Linked DNA regions of Saccharomyces cerevisiae S288C. The gene in region 1 interacts genetically with each later gene. Each region holds a gene or a part of one and is shown on either strand. Other genes may lie near its edges.

The links. Genes that interact genetically often act in the same process or in processes that back each other up.
Region 2: mutations in MET12 (region 1) and YAP1802 together harm fitness more than expected from each alone (negative genetic interaction), as found in Saccharomyces cerevisiae (2 studies listed by BioGRID).
Region 3: mutations in MET12 (region 1) and CRP1 together harm fitness less than expected from each alone (positive genetic interaction), as found in Saccharomyces cerevisiae (2 studies listed by BioGRID).

The regions. Positions count from the first base shown.
Region 1 is NC_001148.4:503,768-507,837, reverse strand, and holds MET12 (methylenetetrahydrofolate reductase (NAD(P)H) MET12), read left to right. Parts: upstream 1-1,525; coding exon 1,526-3,499; downstream 3,500-4,070. Other genes in the region: ssDNA endodeoxyribonuclease RAD1, read right to left, coding at 1-1,141; RMI1 (Rmi1p), read right to left, coding at 3,596-4,070.
Region 2 is NC_001139.9:974,375-978,586, reverse strand, and holds YAP1802 (Yap1802p), read left to right. Parts: upstream 1-2,005; coding exon 2,006-3,712; downstream 3,713-4,212. Other genes in the region: LSC2 (succinate--CoA ligase (GDP-forming) subunit beta), read left to right, coding at 1-551; MPC3 (mitochondrial pyruvate carrier), read right to left, coding at 811-1,251; YGR240C-A (uncharacterized protein), read left to right, coding at 3,810-4,010. UniProt on the Saccharomyces cerevisiae protein: Involved in endocytosis and clathrin cage assembly.
Region 3 is NC_001140.6:388,619-392,197, forward strand, and holds CRP1 (Crp1p), read left to right. Parts: upstream 1-1,681; coding exon 1,682-3,079; downstream 3,080-3,579. Other genes in the region: DCD1 (deoxycytidine monophosphate deaminase), read right to left, coding at 1-108.

The DNA of each region.
Region 1 (4,070 bases):
CCATCACCGAGTCAATTGACCTGATAAAGTTTATATCCAGGACATTTTCCATATTCCACCAGTCCAGAGCTAGTTCAGGATTTTTTCTGCTTAACTCAGCAATACATTTTTTCAAACATTCCATCAAGCCAAACTGTATCTGAGACATGGAATTTGTTAAGGAGACCTTGACTTCAATGACTTTATTGTGTGACGTCTTATTAGTGGCATTCAAACAGGAAGAGACCTCTACCCTGAACCTCGGCCATAGCAAAACGTTCTTTAGCCGTAATTCTTTCATTTTCGTCCTGAGGGGTGAAAATTCCATGACAAACGTCTCTGGTGCTTCAGAAAAGGCTTTAATAAAACCCCAAGTATTTTTAGACCTGTAAATCTCTAATATAAACGATTCATTCGAATTATGTCGAAGTGAGTCTGCATTCAATACCAGCATACCCGTAACCCTATTTGGGTGAACAATGCCGGATAAGAGATCCACAATGAGAATTCTAGAAGTAATGCTCAAGATTCCGCCAGAAATATATAGCTTTCTTCTCTTTTCAATGCTCAGCGAGTCCGCGGTAACTACGTTAAAAGGCCTTTCAAAAAGTTCATCATCGCTCTCGACAGCAGTATCGTCGTCGTCCTTCCCAGTATTAGAGAACCACGACAGCTCTTCTAAGGCCTCCTTGATTCTTACATTATCTATAGGTTTTGCATTCAACACTAGGACGAGCGCTCGCTTTAGTTGTCCGTTAATGGATGTTGGTGTAGCTAAAACATGCAATAAATTGGCCACAATATCAAGCAATCCTAGTCCTTTCCCCATTATGATTAATGCATCTTCAGTAATTAATGAATTCTCTACCACTTTTTGCTGAAACGGCAATGGTAAAGTCAATTGAATATCAACTGGCCTAATATCGTTAATATTGGGCTTAGACGTTTCTATGTCATCTGGCTCATTAGGTATAAGAGGGTATAACACTGCATCGTCATCTAAAACTTTGCTATCTTCATTTTCCACCTCATTAAGATGATTGGAGTCGTCGGGTTCATCTTCATTTTTAATTTTAGAACTTTGAGATGCTTGAGTTGTCTGCCTCGTAAGTTCCTCCTGGAGCTCATCATCAGAGTCGCCCTGATAAAATAACTGAGACATCTGGAAAGATATTTTCAACAGGATAGTGCAATATTATTTTTACACATTTAGCAAATGCTCTACCAACGTCCTGAACCCTCCAGTACACCTGTGCTCTCTCCTCTCCTATGCGCCACGCAGACAAAAGTTTACTCGTCCCGACTTTTTTTTTTCATTAGACGCGATATTGACTGTGGCTATAGCTTACTCCAGGAGATAAGCGAGTAAAGCTTTTTCTAACTTCAATGATGAAGAAAAGTCGCAAAATAAAGGCAAACAGAGAACACTTCAGGTTGTTGGTTACATTGGAAGAGGGACTTAAGCTCTCACATCATCTATTTTGTTTCAAGTTCGTACATTTTTTGAAGCGTGTTGGACGGGACAGGTTGATTACATTTTTTAAACATGTCCATCAGAGATTTATATCATGCGAGGGCTTCCCCTTTTATATCGTTAGAATTCTTCCCTCCAAAGACTGAATTAGGGACGAGAAATTTGATGGAACGTATGCATCGTATGACTGCTTTAGATCCACTGTTTATCACGGTTACTTGGGGAGCAGGTGGTACTACTGCGGAAAAGACTCTGACATTAGCTTCCTTGGCACAGCAGACACTAAATATACCAGTTTGTATGCATTTGACCTGTACAAACACAGAAAAAGCCATCATTGATGATGCGCTGGATAGATGTTATAATGCAGGAATCAGGAATATTTTGGCTCTTCGAGGTGACCCACCTATTGGGGAAGATTGGCTAGATTCTCAATCGAACGAATCACCTTTTAAATATGCGGTTGATTTAGTTCGTTATATCAAGCAAAGCTACGGAGACAAGTTCTGCGTCGGTGTTGCAGCATATCCAGAAGGTCATTGTGAAGGTGAAGCAGAAGGTCACGAGCAAGACCCATTGAAGGATTTGGTATATTTAAAAGAAAAAGTTGAAGCTGGGGCCGATTTTGTGATAACACAACTGTTTTACGACGTTGAAAAATTCTTAACTTTTGAAATGCTATTTCGGGAACGGATTTCGCAAGATTTGCCCCTTTTCCCTGGGTTGATGCCTATTAACTCCTATCTGCTTTTCCACAGAGCAGCAAAGTTATCACATGCATCTATTCCACCTGCAATACTGAGTAGGTTCCCCCCAGAAATCCAATCGGATGATAATGCCGTGAAGTCCATTGGTGTGGACATTCTTATCGAATTGATTCAGGAAATATATCAAAGAACATCTGGTAGAATTAAAGGGTTTCATTTCTATACATTAAATTTGGAAAAGGCTATTGCTCAAATTGTCTCGCAATCTCCCGTCTTATCCCATATCGTAAATGAATCTAGCGAAGAAGAGGGAGAAGATGAAACCAGTGGCGAAATAGGAAGCATAGAAAATGTGCCAATAGAAGATGCTGACGGGGATATTGTGTTGGATGATTCGAATGAAGAAACTGTAGCAAACCGGAAAAGGAGAAGGCATTCAAGTCTTGATTCGGCCAAGTTGATTTTCAATAGGGCTATCGTCACTGAAAAAGGCTTACGCTATAATAATGAGAATGGTTCCATGCCATCTAAAAAGGCTTTAATATCTATTTCTAAAGGTCACGGAACTTTGGGTCGTGATGCCACTTGGGATGAGTTCCCCAATGGTAGATTTGGTGACTCCAGGTCTCCCGCATATGGTGAAATAGACGGTTATGGGCCATCCATCAAGGTAAGCAAAAGCAAAGCGCTTGAACTATGGGGTATACCAAAGACAATTGGCGATTTAAAAGATATTTTTATAAAATATTTGGAAGGTTCAACGGATGCGATTCCCTGGTCTGACCTGGGTTTATCAGCTGAAACGGCGTTAATACAAGAAGAACTAATCCAACTAAACTATCGCGGATATTTGACTTTGGCATCGCAACCTGCCACAAATGCTACATTGAGTAGTGATAAAATATTCGGCTGGGGGCCCGCGAAAGGGAGGTTGTATCAGAAGGCATTCGTAGAAATGTTTATTCATAGACAGCAATGGGAAACAACTTTGAAACCCAAGCTAGACCATTACGGGCGTCGGAAATTCAGTTATTACGCGGGCGATTCATCTGGTTCATTTGAAACGAACCTAGACCCGCACAGCTCTAGCGTTGTAACATGGGGTGTTTTTCCCAACAGTCCGGTCAAACAGACTACAATCATTGAAGAAGAGTCATTCAAGGCATGGAGAGATGAAGCGTTTAGTATCTGGTCCGAGTGGGCCAAGTTATTTCCAAGGAACACCCCAGCCAATATTCTTCTAAGACTAGTGCATAAAGACTACTGTCTTGTCTCAATTGTTCATCACGACTTCAAAGAAACCGACGAGCTATGGGAAATGTTACTCGACCAAGCCTAATATTTCACTGAATATAAATACAAAAATGCGAAAATAATGTAATATTTAACGTATACATAACGGGCAGAACGCCCTTCTAAGAAGAAGAGGCATATGCTAATCATTGGCTTTCCTTTTCTTGGAGCCGCCATTTACAAGTTGTTTGTCACGTTGTAATTTAGATTCCAAATAATCACAAAATTTCTGATCTCTATTTTCATTCCAAACTCTATTAATGCCGCCGAGAAAAATGACTTGTGAGTCCTTCAATATGAAAACGCCCCTATTGAACACAGTTCCCGGCAGTATCACAATTTTAGAACCCAGCATGCAAGAGCTCCAAGATATTGGAGTCGAGTTGATAGCAAAAAAAACGTCGCCCGACTTACTTTGTAGTGTCAATTTAAACACTGCTTTATTCTTGGCGGCACTGCTATTATTGTTGCTATTATTTTCCTTGGCGCAGTTGTTATCCGCCACATTCCCGTCATCTTCCATGTCCACTTGAGTGATGACCTCGTACTTCTTAGCGCCATTTCCTTGCGCGCCTGATCGTAGTCTATCCACTTTCTGTTTTTTCGGATCCAGCTTG
Region 2 (4,212 bases), on another chromosome or scaffold:
CAACCCACAAAATCATGTGTACAGACGCCAAATTTGGGTTTGATGATAACGCATCATTCAGACAGGAAAAGATATATTCCTGGAGGGACTTATCACAAGAAGATCCTGATGAAGTTAAGGCAAAGAAGTATGATTTGAATTTTGTTAAGTTGAAGGGTAACATTGGATGTTTAGTCAATGGTGCTGGTTTGGCTATGGCTACTATGGATGTCATCAAATTAAATGGAGGCGATCCTGCGAACTTTTTGGATTGTGGTGGTGGTGCCACCCCTGAGACCATCAAACAAGGTTTCGAATTGATCTTATCCAATAAGAACGTAGATGCAATTTTCGTCAATATTTTCGGCGGTATCGTAAGATGTGACTATGTTGCCCTGGGGCTGGTAGAAGCCGCCAGAGAACTAGAAGTTAGGGTCCCCATTGTGGCACGTTTGCAAGGTACCAAAGTAGAAGAAGGCCGCGACATTATCAATAAGTCAGGCGTGAAGATTTATTCGTTTGATGAATTAGATCCTGCTGCTAAAAAGGTCGTTGAATTGACCCAAAATTAAGCTTCTCGAGAAAAACAAAAGAGTTAATAATAAAGTATATATGCTTTTTTACTATTAATAAAGTTTCTTATTTTCCCTACATGTATACATACATATAAATATACTCTTTTGGAAAAAATTTCTTTTTTTTTTTTTTAATTTTTTTATATTTTTCCATCTTTTGATGTAATATAGAGGTTATATAATGAAAGAATATATAAGAGGTCATAAAAAATCATTAAAAAAATGCGAGTTCAGGAACATATTATCGTTTACGTAATCAGTGCGTTATTGGCGGATTAGTACCGATCACACCTTTGTTCATCGATGTGGATGCAGTTTGCTTTGCTGCGACGGCTGCAGGAGTCTCCCCTTTTATTATGTAGTGAATAACCTGTTTAAAAGAATCACCGTTCCGTATCCTAAAGTTAGCAATTCTTGTTAGATGGTAGCCTGCAGTGCAACCCAGGAAAAAATTGACGGAAGCTAACAGATAGTTCTTGGGCTTGATGACAAACGACCAACGCGTCCAAATCAGTGCCGTCGCTAATAAAGATAAATTTTGTGCTCCTGATACCTTCTCAACAGGCCTCTTAATATCATTTAGCCCTGCGAAGACCAGCCCCCACTTCAAAGTTGGGGCCCAGAAGTGTACTGTTTTAGGGCCTGTTTCACTATTCCAAAATCTTCTAAAGGCAAAATTAAAAGCTGATGCTGACATTAAAAATATAGGTTTGTGTTTCTATGTGTCTTGAATGCTTATGCGTATAGTCTTAAAGACTGATTGTATTCTTTTTTTTTATATGAAGTATTTCCGCCGTAATGAAAGGGAAAAGAAAATTTTCTCCAATACTCCAATTGCAACGCACCATATTATCCGGGAGAATACACGCACGCAGCCGCATATATATATATGATGGCCTTAGTTTTGTTTGAGCCTTTCGGTTTTGCGTGACCAAACCAGGGAGCGGCTCGCTTGACCCGCCCACGGAATGACGTAAAGCCGTTAATAGCCGATTGGCGGGAGAAATAAAAGCGGGGCACTCCCAAGATGAGGGGTAATCGGGGTAATAATATCCAATCAAGGAGGAAAAGGGCCAAATGTTACCCGACTATCCAAACTGCAGGGTAACCTTTATTTTTTCTTTTCTTTTACTCCTACCATTTTTTTTTTCAGATTTTTCCCAGTATGGCTTTGTTTTCATTTTGCTTTGGTGGAGGGATAGATTAAGTTTGCAGCTGCGTAGAAAAGTTTCTTTTCTACATTCGAGGAAAAAGTCGACTTATTAGTCTGGTTAACTTGTTATTAGGGCTTCTTGCTTGAGTTATAATTTTAGAAGGAGAAAAAATAAATCTGTAGCAGGAGTACCAATTTGCTACGCTTGCTAACATCTACGAGAGTAACAATATCAAGCATACAAGCGCGACTGTCTCGGCTACCCCTATAATAGATATAGAGGCGTGTTTGTGAAACAATGTCTTCATTATATACTAAGTTGGTTAAAGGGGCGACCAAAATAAAGATGGCCCCTCCAAAGCAAAAATATGTGGACCCTATTCTCTCGGGCACTTCGAGCGCAAGAGGATTGCAAGAGATTACCCACGCATTGGATATAAGGTTGTCTGATACAGCCTGGACCATTGTTTATAAGGCATTGATTGTGTTGCATCTGATGATACAACAAGGCGAAAAAGATGTCACGCTAAGGCACTATTCCCATAATTTGGATGTTTTCCAATTGAGAAAGATTTCGCATACTACTAAGTGGTCTTCCAATGATATGAGGGCTTTGCAGAGATACGACGAATACCTAAAAACACGTTGTGAAGAGTATGGCAGGCTAGGTATGGATCACCTACGAGACAATTACTCCTCGCTAAAGCTGGGCAGTAAGAACCAGCTTTCAATGGATGAAGAGCTAGATCATGTTGAATCATTGGAAATTCAAATTAATGCCTTGATAAGGAATAAATACTCTGTTTCAGATTTAGAAAACCATTTGTTATTGTATGCATTCCAATTGTTAGTACAAGATTTACTAGGTCTGTACAATGCTCTTAATGAAGGTGTCATTACACTTTTAGAATCATTCTTCGAATTGTCCATTGAGCACGCAAAAAGAACACTGGATCTCTATAAGGATTTCGTGGATATGACAGAATATGTTGTTAGATACCTAAAAATAGGAAAAGCTGTCGGTTTGAAAATCCCCGTTATCAAACATATTACTACAAAGTTAATTAACTCCCTTGAGGAGCATTTGAGAGAGGAAACAAAAAGACAAAGAGGTGAACCTTCTGAACCGCAGCAAGATAGAAAACCATCTACGGCCATTAGCTCTACCAGTAGTCACAATAACAACAGCAATGACAAGAATAAGTCTATAGCGCAGAAGAAACTGGAACAGATAAGGGAACAAAAAAGACTGCTGGAGCAACAATTACAAAACCAACAGTTGCTCATTTCCCCCACGGTCCCACAAGATGCTTACAACCCATTTGGATCACAACAGCAAGATTTAAATAATGACACCTTTTCATTCGAACCAACCCAGCCACAAATGACCGCTCAAGTCCCTCAACCAACTGCTAACCCCTTCTTGATACCGCAACAACAGCAACAGGCTTTACAGTTGACATCTGCGTCTACAATGCCACAACCAAGTGAGATACAGATTACTCCAAATTTGAATAATCAACAAACTGGGATGTATGCTTCTAACCTTCAATACACCCCAAATTTCACCGGCTCAGGGTTCGGCGGATACACGACCACCGAGAACAATGCAATTATGACCGGCACTTTAGATCCAACAAAAACGGGGTCTAACAACCCATTTTCGCTAGAAAATATTGCCAGAGAACAGCAACAACAAAATTTCCAAAACTCCCCAAATCCTTTTACCCTCCAACAAGCACAAACCACCCCGATTCTTGCTCATAGTCAAACAGGTAATCCATTTCAGGCTCAAAACGTGGTGACATCACCAATGGGCACATACATGACGAATCCCGTGGCCGGTCAACTTCAGTATGCCTCTACTGGTGCGCAGCAGCAACCACAAATGATGCAGGGTCAGCAAACAGGGTATGTTATGGTTCCCACTGCGTTTGTCCCCATCAATCAACAACAGCAACAACAGCAGCATCAGCAAGAAAATCCTAACTTAATAGATATATAGTGAGCGATAGATACTACAGTTTTTTGTTCTCAACAGGCCGTCCTTGCATATTATAAACTCTGATTTTTAGGTAATCCCTTCCACCTTTCTATATTTTATGATACTATCCAAACATGTAAATTTTACGTACCATACATATAACCTCATCTATAATTTTTACCCTGATCTAACTAACTTTGGCATGCCTGGTTCAATCTACGGGTTACAGTCATCGTTGAAAACGATGGAAAAACATGTCGAGATTCCTCAATCCATACACCATTATAGTCCGTTTTATCAGCTTCCACTAATTTTTTAAATCTCAGTTTCTTCTTGAAATTTAGCATCGTGCATGGGATAGCGGCTAGTAAAAAAGAAAATTAATATCTCATTAACAAAGTTATTGTACATAATCCGGTACAATATTCTTCAATGTACTCTCTAATATCGAGCACACTGGCAATATTCATGCACACATTCGCCTAATGCTGACGAATGCTTAATCAGTGCAATTACTGCCA
Region 3 (3,579 bases), on another chromosome or scaffold:
CTCTGGATTATCTAGGTGATTGAGTAATTCAAAATGAAAATGATCAACCAACATGTTAATAACATCTTCGCATCCGCAAAATTTCGTACCACTTACACCAATTAACATAATCGTGTTATATTGATTAGTGTAGCATTCACACCTTTAATGTGCCAAAAAAAGATGTTGAATTCTATGGTAATGCAGAAGTTTCAATTCTCGAGATTGCCTACATCATCTCATAACTGCGTACCGCGCGTTCTTGCAAAGAACAAAAAAGTGAAAAAATTATAATGGGGCGAGCTGGGAATTGAACCCAGGGCCTCTCGCATGCTTTGTCTTCCTGTTTAGGCAGGAAGTCGCCCAAAGCGAGAATCATACCACTAGACCACACGCCCATGTATCTGTTGGTGTTCTAAATAAAGAATTAAACTATGTAGGCATAAAAAGAGACGGGAGCATCTTAAAGATGCAACTGGATGGAGAATGGCAAAATATGAAGAAGAAGGAAGGAAAAGAAATATTATTATGCGTAACTGTTGATTCCTTTTTGTGGATTTCTTGAGGAGAATGTCTTTTTGAAGAGTGGGTGAATTTTGAGATAATTGTTGGGATTCCATTTTTAATAAGGCAATAATATTAGGTATGTAGAATGTACTAGAAGTTCTCCTCGAGGATTTAGGAATCCATAAAAGGGAATCTGCAATTCTACACAATTCTATAAATATTATTATCATCATTTTATATGTTAATATTCATTGATCCTATTACATTATCAATCCTTGCGTTTCAGCTTCCACTAATTTAGATGACTATTTCTCATCATTTGCGTCATCTTCTAACACCGTATATGATAATATACTAGTAACGTAAATACTAGTTAGTAGATGATAGTTGATTTTTATTCCAACACTTTTATATATTCTGTATTTGATGTTATAGCTTTATCAATTACAGAATGCCAAAAATTATCAAATTATTCACCAATATCCCAAATTTTAATGCAACCGTTATGATCCGACTATTGATAAAGGAAATTCCTATTCTACATAATGTTACTGGTATTTCTTCTTCCGTTTTTTATGTCGTCATTCGTCATCCTATTGCATTATCAATCTTTGCGTTTCAGCTTCCATTAAATTATGAAGATTATTTTTCAATCTTAAAGTCATCTTCTTACACTGGATATAATAATATACTAGCAGTATGAATATTAGTCGATAGACGATAGTTGGTTCTATTTCGACGGGTAATATTCTACTAATACCAATGACACTATTAATTTACCTAACAGAAATTCTTCTTCAATTGACCCTAGCGTTTGCCTTATTATCAAGACACTGAAGGTAAAGTTGCCGATAAACTTTTTGGGTTCCACTGTGCACCTATTTCTATGCTTCAATAAGCAGTTCCAGGTAAGGTTTCACCATTTCAACCCAAGTAAATGCTATGTAGTTATAATATTAATTAATGTGTTCTACTGGTTTTTCTGTGCATAAAAAAGACGCTCTGACGCCATTTATCTTGGTGTGTTACCCGTTAGGAAAAGTGGCGTTGCTAAAATTGTTGAAACCCGATCTCATCGCCTGGTAAACAATACAAACAAGGATTTGAACAAGGTTTTATCATTTTCTGATACGTTTTTTGTACTTACAAAATAAAAGATACAAAAATCACTAAGAAAACTAATCTATCAATAAAAATGAGTAGTGAACTCATGTTCAACTATACTTTTAGCTGGCCTGCTGGTCCAAAAGATGTTATTTTAACAGGAACGTTTGATGACTGGAGGGGCACTTTACCCCTCGTGAAGACCGCCAAGGGAAATTTCGAAATTACTATGCCCGTGAAGCTAGCCAACAAGGATGATACGTTTCAGTTTAAGTTTATTGTGGATGGCGTTTGGTGCGTTAGTGATTCGTATAAAAAGGAGCATGTTAGTGAAGGAATCGAAAACAATTTCTTACAAATTACCGATTTAGTTGAAACGCAGGAAGTTGCCGGTGCCAGTAGAATCCCGGAGGCAGGTGGCCTATTATGTGGTAAACCGCCTCGTTCAGCAGGTCCTCCTTCTACAAGTAATAGAAAGAAAAACAAGCGTAACAATAAGAAAAGAAGATCTAAATTGAAGAAAAAGAGTACTAAGAACAACAAGAAGTCAAATGAAAGTTTAGACGATAATGAAGAAGAAGACGGGGTGACTGGAACTACTACTGAAGATGTTACTGGAACCTCTAGGGAAGAAACTCCATTGGCGGAGCCTACTAATGTTTCCAAAGAAGCTCCGGGCAATTTCCATATTCTGCCAATCGATCAAAGTGCAGACACAACTCAATCAAATGGTATAATTGGTGGACCAGGTCCTGTTCTTGTCCCAAACCCTGGTGAAATCAAGGAATTTACCGAAATTAGAGACGTTGATGCTAGGGAATTGAATGAAAGACTTAACAAAAAAGAAGAGGTTCCAGAACCCGTTGCTGGCCCTATTGTTGAATCATCAGTTACGGAAAAGAGTCCTGCTCTTCCACAAGCTGACGACCCGATTGTTGAGACCAAGGAAGTGGCTCATAATGTGCAGGAACTTACTCCTCAAGTGGAAGCGGTTACTCCGTTAATAAATGAGCCCGAACCATTACCAACTCCGGAAGCACAAATATCTATACCTGAGTCATCGAAAGTTGAACCAGTGGAGGGGTCTCTTCAATCTAAGTTGGTGGAGAAACGTGAGTCCACTGAAGGTGTATTAGACGGTTCCAAAAAAGTAGAAAATAAGGCAAAAAAAGATGAAGAGGTCTTTACATTAGACCCCATCGTTAACAAAGCTCCCAAGCTACCCTTGACTGACGAGCAAACAGCTGAAGGTAGAAAATCACCAGCAGTGTCAGAAGAAAAAGAAAAGAAAAAGAAGCAAGAAAAAGGCTCTAAAGAGGTCAAGAGGTCAGAAACCAGTAAAGAAAAAAAGCCTTCTGCCAAAGAGGTTAAGAAACAAACTGTAAAAGCCCCAAAGAAACAGACAGCTTCTCCTTTGTCTTCTTCGACAGAAGAGCCCAAGAAGAAGAAAACTGGTTTCTTCGGCAAATTGAAGAAGCTATTTAAGTGAATTATCTAAGGATTGGTCTCATGTTGCCGAATCATAGAAATATAAGAAAAAAATTAAAAAAAAAAAGAAAGAAAGTATAATACTAATATTGGCAATAATGCTAACACATTACTAATAATAGCAATAATATTAATAATAATAATAATAATAATAAATTATAATAATAGCAGTAATAAAAATATCAAATAATAATAATAGTAATAGTAGTAGTAGTAGTAGCAGTTGTAGTAATGATAATAATAATATAATAATAATATAATAATAGTATAATAATAGTATAAGTAGTTGTAGGTAAAAATCTTTGATTTATCTTATCTGGTTGCAATGCTTCTCCCCTCTGATGCCTAATATGTCTATCTTTATCCTATACCAATTGGCAGGGGAGCAATCATAATTTACATTAATATCGTCCACCATACCCTGAAATTCCAAAAGAGTTCGAGAAATTGGAAGGTACAGCATTTCATTTACTCACTTATTTGATCTTTTCTTTTGTTTTC